2 linked regions of the Rhinolophus ferrumequinum genome follow. The protein of the gene in region 1 binds, or shares a complex with, the protein of each later gene. Links are inferred from orthologs where the notes say so. Each region holds a gene or a part of one and is shown in the gene's direction. Other genes may lie near its edges.

Region 1 (7,203 bases):
GCTGACAGTTATATACTGAGATAAAATTCACCTTTGGCAAACTTGTTAATTATCATGATTAGATGACACTTACGCAGATTTCTTTAGCCGACTATTTTTCCCTTAGTATTCCCTTCTCTGTTTTGCCTTTCTCCTGCCCCAATCTTCTTTACTGATATCAGTCTGGATTTTTGTTTTTTTTGTTTTTACTTTCCTAGAATACCTTGAATAAAACTTACCTGTCTTATTAACTCTTGTTCAGACCATCAGTTATTCCTAATAATGACATGGTAAATACTAACGAGTTAATATGCAGCCCTCCCTTGACAAAGGAATACTTTGGTTTCCTCAACCTCTTTAAATCCATTCATTCATTCATTCATTCATTCATTCATTCATTCATTCATTCATCTCTCTCCTCCTTAATGATTTTGATGACGACCCAAATGGCACACTTATCCTATTTGTGGATAATTTGAAGCAAGAGATATAGAATATGCACTAAATGGCAGAATTGGAGATCAGAAAGATTTCAAACAGGCCAGAAAGATGGACTAAATCAAATAAGAAGTTTAATAAAAGGGTGTATAAGGGTCTGCGATTTGAGTTGTCAAAGCCAGGGCTGTACAGCTCTTGTGAAAAAGCCTCCGGGTGTTAACCCAGAGTAGGTTCCCTAAGAGTGCAGGGTCTGAAGTAGCCGACAGAAAAGGCTTCTTTGATCTTAGGTTGCAGTAACAGAAGCACAGTGTCTATGTCACAGCCCCTGGGGAGCAGAAGGAGATACGAGCTAACTAGGAGTCCAGCACTGGGACACACAGCCTCAAAAGAGCTGGAACCCTGAATAAATCAACGTGAGATAAGCAAGAGCGGCCGGGTGGCTCAGTTGGTTAGAGCGTGAGCTCTCAATAACAAGGTTGCCAGTTCGATTCCCACATGGGATGGTGGGCTGCGCCCCCTGCAACTAAAGATTGAAAATGGCGACTGGACTTGGAGCTGAGCTGCGCCCTCCACAACTAGATTGAAGGACAATGGCTGATGGGCCCTGGAGAGAAACACACTGTTCCCCAATATTTCCCAATAAAATTTATTTAAAAAAAAAGTGAGATAAGCACTAACAGGTGAGGAACAGGTAGTTGGGACCAGAGTGAGGTGTGGGGGTGGGGGAGAGGCAGAAAAGAGATGGCCCCCGAGGAACTCCATCCGCAGTGCTTGCCACACCAGGTCTGTATGTGCTTCCTCCAAGCAGCCTGAACTGTCATGTCGTGTGGCTATGTCTTGTGAGGTGTTCTTTTCATATAACACAGCAGGGTTTTATGAGATCATTTGGTTGCCGTGGCCAACCACACATACTTATGCTATGCAGCGTGTAGCCACAGATGTTATTTTTTCCTTTGGTCTGAAGCTACCTAGCCCATGTGGGGATGAGATTCCTGATTGAGCCCCAGTGACTGCAAGCTGAGCCCTTCCACACATGGTCCGCTGCAGGAAGATGAGGCCCTGGGTTCTCTCTTGTCTCCCACACTGATGCTCCCACACTATTATTCCGTCTTGAACATTAAAACTGTTGGTTTTACCAAGAGTGTGCCTCTGAATAGGGACTAGAAAGAATCCTCAGAGAATGTTTATAGCTGATAACAAGAGAGAGTGTCTGGTTTTGCAGGAGATGAAATGTTCTTTGTGTGTGGGCAGGAAGGAAGTAGATAGTCCACTTCAATAGCTTTTTATATGCACCAGGCATGTTGAAATAGATCTTTTCCATCTCCACTATCTATAAAACCTCTTCGTTAGTGATTTAGTTGGAGAGTACTGTAGCCCATTCTTATTCAAATGTATTATCTCTTTTAGTGGAGCGAGGGAGAGGGTTGAGAGTCATACCTTTCTTTCTCATCATTTTAATTTAGATGTTCATTTATCTCAATGCTAAAATTTATCTAAGCTAAAATGAAATCATGAGCAAACCTGGTGACAACCTGTAGCATGTTGAATTCTTGTGAGGAAGCTAATGCGACTAACAAAAGAAGAAGTCGTAAAGAAATTGCTATCATTAAAGCCTGCAACTTTTCAAAAGAATAGTTGGGGGATTTGTGAAGGACCACTCGATGCAAAATGATTTTGGGGTAAATTAAGTCATTCAACCATGACTCTTTTAACCTTAAATAATTGAGCAATAAATTGTTGACTGGCATCTGAGATTATGAAACCTGTTTCAGCCGTTCAACAATGACCTGTTCCGGCTTCACAAACGAAGTCTTTACATTCCTTTCTGAAGAGGGTATTGGGAGAGTTTTTTAAAAATCAAATCGCATTTGAAAAGTTGTATTAAACTTTTGTAGGTTGTGCTATGGACCACTTTCCCCCCAGGGTCAGCTAAGGGTCTCTCCTGAGAATCCCCCCTGAGTCCTCCAGACCGGACAGACCACCTCTTCTCTGTGCCCATAGCAAACCCGAACCTCCCCCACCCATCCCCGCCCCCGCCCCCGCCCCCAGCCCTGTGATCCTGACACTATGCTGTCTTGGCCCCTTTCCGTGCCAACTTCCTTCCCAGATTCTAAGCCCCGTCCTTAGAAGGCAGAGATGAGATCTTCCCATCAGTGTTTTTTGGCTCTAACACAATGCCTGGTCCATAGGAGGTGGCAGAAGGGCAATGCTGACGGCTTCTCCTTCGGAGGGATGGGGGCAGTGACACGGGGCTCTGAAGTGAGGCTCTCTCTCGGGTGAGTCCCAGACTGTGACCTGGGCTGGGGGACCAGGTTCGAGAAGGATCCGCTGTCAGCTTCCATCCCTGCGTTCCGTGTTTACTTTCAAGGAATGAGCCTGTGGTTTTGGAGAAATCAGGCTCGGGCGAGGCAGAGTAAAACGGCCAGGGAGCGCGGTGAGGAGCACTGCGAAAATGGAAAAGGGTGATGAAGCCCGCGGGCTAGCAATGACCTCGCGCGTCTTGCTTCCTTTTGAACCACGAGGGACTGTGGCTCAGGCGCCCCGGCGCCAGGTGCGCGGACACGCGTTTCCTGCGTGGGGCGGAGGGTGGCAAGGACCTGTCCTTGTTCTACAGTGCAGAGAGGTGTGGCAAGTTCGAGTTGCCCAATCTTCCCATACGGGGAGGTAGTCCAGTCCTTCTGGAAGAGTCGCTGGCCCCGTTTAGGAGTCATCACAATTCCTTTTATCTTGACCATCTGCAGGTTCCAGTAGAACTATTTTTCAAGGCGGCGGTATTTACAGAGAGAAGGCTGAGCTGCTCAGTGGAGCCCAGGACGCTTCCAGCCTTTGAGGTCATGCGGACAAAATTAAAGAACAAAGTGGAATTGGTGCCATCGCAAATGATCTAGTGGCTCAAGTTTATTTCACTTGGTTTTTTTCGAAGACCAGCAGTCAATCGTCTTGCGTAACAAGCTCCCATCAGAAAGATTTTTTTCGAGCATTTAGGAAATAAAGTTCACGTGCCAGGTCGGCCCTTACAAGTTGTAGGAGCAGTTTCACGCCTCAGCTTTTAAAAAGGTATCACGATACTAAGCCTTGTTTTTCTTCTAGGAAGCGGCGGGTTTAGGAAACGACTTGGGCGGGAGCATCTGTGGCCGAAAAAGACACAGACGCACTCCCCAGGGACCAGAGCCGGTTCGCGGTCTTCCAGAAGGTGCCAGGCAAGCGTCCGGTGCCCTCCGGCGCTCCCATTCCAGTCCCCGGTTCCGAAGGTTTCCGGCGCCTTCCTAGACGTCTGGGTACAGTCAGGGAGCTGGGGGGCAGCTGGACAGGCGGGAAGGGCAAGGACGAGAAGGGAGTCGGACTGCGCCTCACTCCTTGGTGCCAAGAACACCGTCTCGGGGGCGCGGCCAGCTTCCCGTGGATCGGACTTTCCGCCCAGGGGGCGGGCGGTGGAGCTGCAGTCCTGTCCCCTTCCCAGCTTCGGGCGGCCCCCAGGGCTGAGTAAACCGGGTGGAGGGAGACTGCAAGGATTTCCTGAGCACTAAGGGCAGGAGGAGGGACGGGGGCAGGAGGAGGGACGGGGGCAGGAGAGACGGGAGCGCGGACCCTGAACCTGCCCGGGGCTGCGCTCCCGGGACGCGTCTCCAGCGCCTCCCAGAGCACGCGCGCTCTCCGCCCCGCGGAGCGCTCAGCCCCGGCCCCCCGCCCCCGGCGGCCCCCGCCCCTCTCTGTAGCCTTAGGGAATCAGGTCCCGGAGGAAGAGGGTAGGTGGGGAGGCGGATGAGGGGTGGGGGACCCCTTGACGTCACTGGAAGGAGGTGCCGGGGTAGGAAGTGGGCTGTGGAAAGGTTATAAATGGCCCCCGCCCTCAGCTGCTCTTCAGCAAGGTCCGCTGGAGTCTCGGAGCGCGCCCGCCGGACACTCCTCGCGGCTCTTCCCCGGCGGCGGCGGCGGCGGCGGCGGCGGCGGCGGCTCCGGCTCGCAGCGAGTTCCCGGACTGGAGCGCAGCGGCCAAGCACGCGGAGCTGCGAGGATTACCCGGCAAGTGGCCGTCTTCCTGGCTGGAGCCGCGGATAGTGGCGCCCGGGGCGCGCAGCCAGAGCGCAGGGCCAGCGGCCGCCGAGAGCAAGAAGACAGTTTCCGGCGGCTGGATAGGTCTCCCGTCAGGAGCGCGGGCACCGGGCGAGCAGGCCGCGTCGCGCTCACCATGGTCAGCTGCTGGGACACCGGCGTCCTGCTGTGCGCGCTGCTCGGCGGTCTGCTTCTCACAGGTAGGGCGCGACCCGGGCCGTGATGGGGCGGCAGGGGCACACCCTGGTGGCCGGGGCCGGGGGCCCTCGGGGAGGCGAGCCTCAGCGGGAACCTGGGACACGCGTCGCATTGGGCACGCCTGGGGCCGTGGCGCCCTTCTCCTCCGCTGGGTGGTCAGGGTGCGCGCCTCGGAGAGCAGCAGGCGGGACCCGCGGGCATCGCCGCCCGGGACAGCGCTGGGCTCCAGCCGCTTGGCGGCTGAAGTCGTTGATCCGTTCTGCCTGGCTCCGTGCTCGGGGAGCGCCGCGCACCCGGATCTGCCTGACCCCCAGACCTGCTTCCAGAAGGCCTGGAGCGGGTCCCCGGGCCCTCCGGAGCCTAGAGCCGCGGCGCTCAGAACTCCCGTGAGGCCGCCGGGGGGCTGGGCTGAGGCCCCACGGTGGCGATGTTGGGCACAGGCCACGACGTCGCGCCTCGAGAGGGAAGGAGGAGAGCCCTCCTGGAGGCGTTCGCTTGTTTGCCGGGAGCAGACAAAACCCCGGAGATGGCAAGAGCTGGTATCTTTCGACTCACTTCGGGTCCCCGAGCCCGACTGTCCCCGGGATGTCCTACGAGCGTCCACTCCTCCCGCGTTTCTCCCACCGCGGGGCCGGAGCGCGCAGCCTGCCCAGGTCGCGGACCTGAGTGAACCTGACCAACGAGGCCAGTCGGGAACCCGAATGCCGTTAAGTTTCGGAATTGCAAATCTAGCCTTTAAATTCCGAAAGAAGAAAGGGCCGACGATTTGGACCAAAAGATGCCTTTGAGGAACGAGTGAGGTCCGCCCCTTTCCTGGGTGTTAGGGAAACAGGCAGCAGAACCTTCGGGGCCAGAAGGTCGCACAGCGATTAGGTTGGAAGCCGCCCCAGCGAGGAGGCGCCACAGCCCGCGGGGATTTCGGAGCTCGGACTCGAGGCTCTGCCTAGCGGGACAGAGTGGCCGAGCCTTTTGGTTCGGCCCCGTGGGCACAGAGAGCCAGATTTCGGAGCGCCTTTCTGTTAACCATCATGGAGAAAAGGTGAAATATGACATGAAAGACAGTAGCATAAAATAAAATAAATAATTGCAATGATCCCGGGAAAGAAAGTCAGTAGGGTTGAGCGTATTTTGTTTTAAAAAATTCTTGTTAAATTCCAAAGGCTGTAACAGTCAAACAGTCTTTCACAGTGGGAAAACTAATTAGACCATCAGTTTCTAAATAACAAGCAATAGTGCCAACTAGATTGGTGAAACCATTAAACCTAGAAGCAAGGTGAAGTAATTCTGAGAACTCGCTGTAAGTGGGGAAAGTTGCTAAAACAACTATATTAAATTAAATGTTGCTTTTCTAATTCAAAACTACATTTTTGTTTTGAAAGTCACTTTTTTTGATACAATTGCTTAGAGCGTTTAAATAACTTGCTAAAGTCCATCTGTCTGTTACATAAAGGTAAATCTAGGTTATTGCCGTAAATCCGAAGAATGGAGGGAAGAATATATGTTTTATTAGATTTTCTGCTTCGCACAGATATAACTTTATCTTTGTTTCAAAGCTGTGGTTGACTAGTGAAGTATAGTTCTCTATTAGGGGCTACTGAGATCGGTGGAGGCTTTTCAGAAACGTGAGATCCTCTTGTGATTACTCTTAGATTTTATTTTACTTAAATGAGGCAGAAATCTTGGAACTCTTGTGATTAAACAAAATTTACACATGTGTTATAGGAAGAAAGCAAGACAAAACACTGACAAGGTGAGAACCCCTTTACCTGCCGGTTTGGGGACCGTTCCATCAGCGGATGGCATTGGTAATTTCAAAGCCTGCCTTCTTAAACCACAGGCTTCTCCGTCTGGTGAACAGACATCTTACGGTGAAACAATCGGCGAAACAGTCGCTACTGACTTTCTAAACCATATCAGGGCTTTTGAACTGAACCCAAGGGCCGCAGCTCTGGGGAGGGGGGCCCAAAAGGGGCCAAGTTTCTGTCCTGTGGATATATCAGGAGTTCCGCCTGCATCCATCCTGGGCCAGGGTCTGCTCACAGACTTTGCAGATTTATCAGTTATTATTACTGTGTATGGGGGGGTGGGGGCCGGGGTGGGGGGTGATGTGCATGTGTGCATTGCAAGATAAAATAACCAGAGGTTCAGTAATACAAAAGGATAATGCATTTCCCCCAAGGAGTATATGTACCTTCTTCCAAACACCCTGGGAAATAAAAAGATGCCAATAATTTAGCTATTTGCAACACGTCTATATTGCAATCTTCCTCTTAAAAAAAAAAAAAAAAGCCCCTTTTCTCCAAAGCCTCATTTTCTTACTTCTAAGGCACCACCACGTCCTACACTAAAGCCACAGACCCTTTTTTTCTGTCCCAATTTTCCCTGCATCTTTGAGCAGCTAACATTTACAATTTGCTATAACTAATTGGAAATGCTGCACTTGGAAATTTTGGGAGGGAAGTCTACATGAATAACATAAAGTTAAATAACAATTACATGAAAATAATACCCATTTCCAAATTGAATGTAATAAAT
Region 2 (7,005 bases), on another chromosome or scaffold:
CATCGCACTTTCTGGCTAGGTGGGCGTGGCCTGAGTTTCTAAGCCAATGAGAATGTGCGGGTGGACCTGAGTCGGCGTAGGAAATGGTGGCAACCGCGGAGTCCGTGAGTGCAGCGGGGGCGGGGCTTGGTGTGGCTCCTCCTTTGCCCGCCACCCTAGCTCCCAGAGTGGGGCAGGGGGTCTCCCGGCCGGGGGCTGGGTGTCCAGACACAGACGCCAGCGTGAAGAAGGGCCTGGGTCAGGGGTAGGACAGGTCCAAGATACTGGGGTCTGGTTTTGAGCAAGGAGGCCCCACCTGCCCCTCTGTCCCCTGGGCCTGCTTCAATTTTCTTTCGCAAGTAAATGGCCCCTTCGCTCTGCCCCCGGAGTGCTTGAAGTTTGGTCCCAATGCATTCTTTGTGGCCTTTCACCAGCTGCCCGCCTGCCGCCATGCTGCCCCTGCGCCTATGCCGGCTGTGGCCCCGCAGCCCTCCCACCCGGCTCTTCGCAGAGGCCACTCGGCAGCGGTGAGTTCGGTCTTTGGGGGCCCGGTGTCGGCCCTGTAGTTCAGCGGGTTTTTGTTGAGGGCGTGCTCAGCTCTAGGCCCTGCCCTAGGTACTGAGGTAGTTGTGATCTCTCTATTCTGTGTCAGGTGCCTTACAGGCTTGTCTCAGGTAAACTTCACCTTCACTGCTGAGGACAGGATCAGAGATGAAGGGACAACCACCAAGGTTATACAGTGAGTTAAGTGGCAAACCTGGAGTTTGAGCCCAAGCCAAACCCAGTGTGTTTTCCACAACTCCTGTGGTTGTCCAACATCACTGTGCATAACCCACGGGGTGGGGTGGTCCTTACAAAAATGCAGATTCCTGGGCCCTGCTCTGGAGCTTCTGAGCTGCAGCTATGAGGTTGGACTCAGGAATCTGTTTTTTTTAAACAAGCTTTTTAGGTGTTTCTGACACAAGGAGTCTGATGAGGACTACACTTTGAGATGTTCTGATCTGCACCATTCCCAAAACACTCCGAAAGGAGGGATGATTTGGAGATAGATCTCCCTTGGTACCTGCCTCAGTCCCCTCAGCTACTGGTTGCTGAGTTGAAGGGTGTAGCCCAGGGGGGCTAGGAAGGGTAGGGAAGTGGTATCCTCTGTTTCCTTAGTCCCTGCAAGTTCCAGCCTCTCTCCACAGGTCTGGCCCCAGTAACTACTATGAACTGTTGGGGGTGCATCCTGGTGCCAGCCCTGAACAAATTAAACGAGCTTTCTTCTCCAAGTCCAAAGAGGTACCAGTGGTCCTAGGAAGGGAAGTGGGAGGGGAAGTCTGAGCCAGACGGGATGCACTCCAAATTCCCAGGAATGGAGCTGAGTAGTTCACTCTAGCTGGTGCCACATTCCATCAGCACGCATGTGGAAGGGGAGCACCCCAAGAGCAGATGTCTGGCCCGGCCAGAGGAAAGCCAGGGGTGTGCTGTCTGATGGGCTGGGCTTGGTTCTCTTGACCTATCGGCTCTTGAGAAAGCATGGACCAGCGCAAACAGTGAGAGCCAAGCAGCCACCCCTTTGGAGGGGTGGCTGGCCCGAGGGTGAGGGTCGCTGCCCAGACAGGGCCTCTGGGAATGATTTGAGCCCTTGTGGGTGGACATTATCAAGATGGGTCCTGGGAAGAGACATGGGAAAGGAGATGAGGGGAGTCCTGCCCCACCCCAGCTGCACCCTGACCGGGACCCTGGGAACCCGGCCCTGCACAGCCGCTTTGTGGAGCTGAGTGAAGCGTATCAAGTGCTTAGCCGGGAGCAGAGTCGCCGCAACTATGACCACCAGCTTCGCTGCACAACTCCCCCAAAGTCTCCAGGAACCACAGCCCATCCCAGGTCTGCTCATCAAACACACAGGTACTGTATCTTGCTGCTAGCTTGCCCCCCACCAAATCTTTTAGGGAGCCTCATCCCCACACTGCCCCTTCTCCCTCCCAGCAGCTCCTGGACAGCCCCCAATGCACAATACTGGGCCCAGTTTCATGGCGTGAGGCCTCAGGGACCAGAATCGAGGCAGCAGCAGCACAGACACAACCAGCGGGTGATGGGGTACTGCCTCCTGATCATGTTGGCAGGCATGGGCCTGCACTATGTTGCTTTCAGGTGCATCCCTGCTGGGGGGAGAGGGGCAGGGGGGTAAAGCCCAGTGTGGTCAGCCAGCCATCCCACCACCCCTGTCGCTTGCACTTGTGTCTCTCCAGCTAAGAATTGCATGAAATACATCTCCGGAGCATTTGCTCATTTAGCAAAGACAGCGCTGCTCTAAGGGCTAGTGTCGTTTTCAGGGTTTTTTAAAATAATTTGAAAGTAAATCTTTGGTGCTGGCTGCCATGGAGTGGCAGAGCCAACCAAAATCATGCAAAAGAAAGAAATGCTTTGTAACAAGGCCTCACCAGCAACTGTTTTCACTTGTTTGGCAGCCAACTGTCACCCCGCCCCTCTCTCATGCATGTCATAACAGGTTCTACAGCAAAGATACTTAAAGGCAGTGCAATGCCCACTGCTAGCAGCCTGCCTAGTTCAGTGATGGAGTTGTACGCACAACTCTTTCAAATCTGTGAGGACCATCCTGATGTTCAGTGCTGAACAGCTGGGGGATTTGGGTCGCCATTGGACCCTCTATGTGTCCCTCTCCCTGCCTAGCACAGGCAGTTAGGCTGAGGTCCTTGCAGATGTAAAGCTGTGAGACCCTAGAGTAGGGTGCAGGGGGTGAGACTTGGAGGACAGCAGGGTTTGGGGGACCCAGGGTTAATTGTAACCCCCATGCAGGAAGCTGGAGCAGATGCACCGTAGCTTCATGGATGAAAAGGATCGGATCATCACAGCCATCTACAATGATACACGGGCCCGGGCCAGGTCTGTCCCTGCTCTACCCTGCCCTCTCTTCACTGTCCCAGCACCACCTTCCAGGATCCCTGTCCCAGCCACCCCGATGCTCTCTCCTGCAGGGCCAACAGAGCCAGGCTCCAGCAGGAGCAAAAGCAGAGGCAGCAGCTGCAGCCACCACCGGGGCCTCCCCCAGGCCCAGGGACAGTGCCCCCAGGCACCAGCCCGTGAGCAGCTCACCTGAATGGGGCCTGCTGTGTTTCCTCCCGGGACTCTCCACTCCCCAAAATGCATGCAATAAAGTGGTTCTCTGCGCTCGTGTCCGCTTCACTCCTTCAGCCCCAGCACCCCCCTCTCCCCCACCCCTCCATCCCCGGCCTCGCCGTGGGACAGCGCCCCGCCCTCCGGGTTCTGGCGGCAGCGACCCAGGAGCCCGGCCCCTTGGGCGGTGCGTCCCCTTTCCCCTGCTGCGGAGGGAGGGGGTGTGTGGAGGGGGCGGGCCCGCCGGCGGCCTCGCCCCCCCCTCCGGCCCCCGCCCCGCCTCTGCCCCACGGCCCGGTGGGGAGCCCGTGTCTGGGTCACATGAGCCGCCCGCCCGCCAGCCCGGGCCCGGCCCCCTGCCGCCCCCGCCGTCCCCGCTGCCTCCACCGCCCGCCGCTCGCCGCCGCCACGGGCCGCCCGGCTCCAACGGCCGCCGCCGCTGCGCTGCGCTGCCTGCGCCCAGGGCTCGGGAGGGGGCTGCGGAGAAGCCGCCCCCCGCGCCCGGCCCCCGACCGCCGCGCCCGGGCCCGCGCCATGGGGCTCTGGCTGCCACCGCCCCCGGCGCCGCCGGGCTAGGGCGATGCGGGCGCCCCCGGCGCGCGGCCCCCGCGGGCACCATGAGCCCCCTGCTCCGCCGCCTGCTGCTCGCCGCGCTCCTGCAGCTGGCCCCCGCCCAGGTACGTGCGTCCCCGACATCCCGCCCGCCTGCCGTGCCCTCTCTCAAGGTTGGCGGAAGTGGGGAGGCGCTGAGAGGCCTCCGCGGAGGGGATCTGCGGGTCGGACCGCGGACGGTGGTGTTGCAGGAGTCTGACCAGGGCATCCCCCGGGAGATGTCCCTCCCCACTGGCCCGCCAACCCAGTCCCGGGGCCACTCCCCCGCCCCACCCCATCCCCTGGGCGCAGCCAGGGGCGGAGCCTCCTGAGTGCCCGAAGGACCTAGTTCGGCTCCCACTGTGCTCCCTTCTGACCTGTGGCCACTGGAACAAGCCTGGTCCCCAGGCTTAGAGGTTCCATGACGCCGACAGAGCTCAGCTGGAGGGTCCTGGCCGGGGGCAGGTCCCTGGTGGCCAGGAGAGGACAGGTAAAGCTAGAGTGGACCCAGAAATAGAGCAATCTGGAAAAATGTCAGAGAGGAGTTGAAACCTTCTAACTGCAAGGTTAGACAGAGCCTTGGGAATAGTGACAGGGCTAGCCCTAACTAGAGTGCACCTTGGGTCCAGCTCTCTTCTCTCCTACAGGTTCCTGTCTCCCAGCCTGATGTCCCTGGCCACCAGAAGAAAGGTAATAGTAACAATAACTTCTCTAGCCAGCACTGAGAAGGTATGTTATGTGTCCATCATCTTGTGTAACCACAACTGCTCTGTAAGATGCAAACTCTTAATAATCTGCCCATTTCCCAGAAGTGGAGATTGAGGCAGTGGGGTTCCCGGGTTCTAGATGAAGAGGGTAGGGGAAGGCAGGGTGGGAGGGCAGAAGGTGGGGCTAGTGGAGGGTGGCCGTGACACAGGAACTAGGGAAAACAGCTGCTGGGCACAGGGGTAGGGGAGCCAGGGAACAGCTGCAGGACACCCAGTGGGGACTTAACCCTTATACATGTGTCCTCAGTGGTGTCATGGATAGATGTGTATGCTCGTGCCACCTGCCAGCCGCGAGAGGTGGTGGTGCCCCTGACTGTGGAGCTCATGGGCACCGTGGCCAAGCAACTGGTGCCCAGCTGTGTGACTGTGCAGCGCTGCGGTGGCTGCTGCCCTGACGACGGCCTAGAGTGCGTGCCTACTGGGCAGCACCAAGTCCGAATGCAGGTACTGGGGCAAGTCGTGCATGCCTGGCTGGGGTGGACGGATGCTGGCGCTCTGGGGGCTGCAGGGGTGATGGCCAGGGCCCTGGCTGGTGGGCGAGCTGTCCTCCCTCCAGCCCATGGAGTGTCCCCTTCTCTTCCCCCCTCTCTCTCTCTCATTGTCTTTCTCCATTTTTCTGAGTGCAGATCCTTATGATCCGGTACCCGAGCAGTCAGCTGGGGGAAATGTCCCTGGAAGAACACAGCCAGTGTGAATGCAGGTGCCAGCCAGGCCCCACGTCTGAGCTCGCAGAGACCAGGCTTCGGGGGTGCTGGGCGTGGTGGGATACCGCAGTGGGGACCAGGATTTTGAGGGTGGAGCCAGAGTAGGCCTGGGATCTGGGGCAACAGAGTAGGATGCTGGGCCTTCCTGATCCTCCTCCTCTTTGTCTCTGTCGGTCTCTCTTACTTTTCAGACCAAAAAAAAAAGAGAGTGCTGTGAAGCCGGACAGGTGAGTCTCTTGGCCTCCTGCTGAGGTGGGGTTGGAGACCAGGCCCAGTGCCCAGGATGTAACCTGTGGGTGGGGTGGGGGCTGTACGAGTGTGTCAGGTGTGGTCCCCTCCCCTTTGTCCTCCCACTTGTGCCCCCCTCTGCCTTTTTCTTTGCTCTCCAGTCTGTATGCTCTGACCTGACCTCAGCTCCTTCCGGGGAAGACTTCCTTCCCGCCCCAGACATGTTGCTTCTCCTCCTAGGGCTGCCACTCCCCACCACCGTCCCCAGCCCCGCTCTGTTCCGGGCTGGGACTCTTCCCCCGGAGCACCCTCCCCAGCTGACATCACTCATCCCACTCCAGCCCCAGGCCCCTCTGCCCACGCTGCACCCAGCGCCGCCAGCGCCCTGACCCCAGGACCTGCCGCTGCCGCTGCCGACGCCGCAGCTTCCTCCGTTGCCAAGGGCGGGGCTTAGAGCTCAACCCAGACACCTGCAGGTGAGTAGTTGTGGGATGGCAGTTGTTTGGGAAGGCAGCAAGTCCTGGAGCATGTCCAGGGTAAGTCTACCAGTGGGAGAAGAGCCAGGGTAGGGGAAACTGTTGAATGTGTTGAACAAATATTTACCAAGTGTCTGTGGGCACTGGGATTGGCATACACAAGGCACACGTTCTATCAAATGCGGAAGTCAGACACAAGGACACATGATGCTGGCAGAGGCTATTGAGGCCTATGGTACGGGGCACTTGACATCGTCTTTACGAGGTCAGAGATGTCCTGGAGGAGGTGACATGTGCCTGGAGTAGAAACAAGAGAGACAACTTTCCAATTTGCAAAGCTCTGGGCCTTCCGAGAAGCCCCTGTGGTAGACATTTGTCCTACCTTGTGGGCTCTGAGAGGCTAGGGGACATAGTGTAACCTGTCCACTCTTGTCCAAGGGCTTCTCACCACCCCTCCCTTCCACAACGAGGCCATGGGTGCATCACGTGGGCCAGGCCAGTTGGGGCTTCCCAGGAATGTTAGGAGAGAATGGGGTTCACAGGAGGTAAAGGGGTGAGTCCAGAGGAGCAGGTGCTGAGCTGTGGCAGCATAACCAGACCCCCTTCCTCCTCCCCTCCTTAGGTGCCGGAAGCTGCGAAGGTGACACATTGCTTTTCAGACTCAGCAGGGCCACTTGCCTCATAGGCCACACCCCAGAGGGGGACTAGAGGGCAGCCTGGTGAGAGCATCCCAGCCCCTCAAGACCTCAGCCCAGGCGGAAGCTGCTCCAGGACCTGGGCTTCTCAGGGCTTTCTGGCCATCCCTTGTCTCTGCAAGGCTGCCATCCAACAGGAAGGGCAGAGTTGGATGAGGAGACTTGCAGGCAGCAAGAAGGGTCGCATACCAACTTGGGAGAGAATGGGGTCCTGTCTCATTGTTTAACCACCCTGTGCAAGGGAGCATCTTACGAGTGGCCCCTCCCTCCCCTAAGAAGACCCTGATCCTCTGCAAATAATGGGAGTTGGGCCTCGGTGTGACAACTGTGACCCTCCCCCCAACCCTGATAAAAGAGATGGAAGGAGCTGTCCCTGCCTGTGTCCCTGTTTGTCATTGTCCAGGTTGGCTGATTTAGGCATGAATGTCTGCATCACACTGCCTCC

Evidence for each region.
Region 2: the proteins of FLT1 (region 1) and VEGFB are in contact, whole or in part, in a crystal structure (PDB 2XAC), measured with the Homo sapiens proteins. The link is inferred for Rhinolophus ferrumequinum from reciprocal best matches to the Homo sapiens genes FLT1 and VEGFB. Residues at the interface, in NP_002010.2 of Homo sapiens: Tyr139, Glu141, Pro143, Phe172, Pro173, Tyr199, Ile202, Gly203, Leu204, Asn219, Leu221, Arg224, Thr226; in NP_003368.1 of Homo sapiens: Ser37, Trp38, Ile39, Tyr42, Thr43, Thr46, Cys47, Gln48, Pro83, Asp84, Asp85, Gly86, Leu87, Cys124, Arg125, Pro126.

The regions. Positions count from the first base shown.
Region 1 is NC_046287.1:100,321,740-100,328,942, reverse strand, and holds the start of FLT1 (vascular endothelial growth factor receptor 1), read left to right. Parts: upstream 1-4,192; 5' UTR 4,193-4,606; coding exon 4,607-4,670; intron 4,671-7,203. UniProt on the Homo sapiens protein: Tyrosine-protein kinase that acts as a cell-surface receptor for VEGFA, VEGFB and PGF, and plays an essential role in the development of embryonic vasculature, the regulation of angiogenesis, cell survival, cell migration, macrophage function, chemotaxis, and cancer cell invasion.
Region 2 is NC_046294.1:7,180,427-7,187,431, reverse strand, and holds VEGFB (vascular endothelial growth factor B), read left to right. Parts: upstream 1-3,993; 5' UTR 3,994-4,111; coding exon 4,112-4,180; intron 4,181-4,337; coding exon 4,338-4,380; intron 4,381-4,704; coding exon 4,705-4,901; intron 4,902-5,083; coding exon 5,084-5,157; intron 5,158-5,352; coding exon 5,353-5,388; intron 5,389-5,629; coding exon 5,630-5,843; coding exon of another isoform or gene 5,844-5,865; intron 5,866-6,487; coding exon of another isoform or gene 6,488-6,509; 3' UTR 6,510-6,932; downstream 6,933-7,005. Other genes in the region: DNAJC4 (dnaJ homolog subfamily C member 4), read left to right, coding at 388-506, 1,167-1,260, 1,685-1,869, 1,951-2,115, 2,782-2,868, 2,961-3,069. UniProt on the Homo sapiens protein: Growth factor for endothelial cells. VEGF-B167 binds heparin and neuropilin-1 whereas the binding to neuropilin-1 of VEGF-B186 is regulated by proteolysis.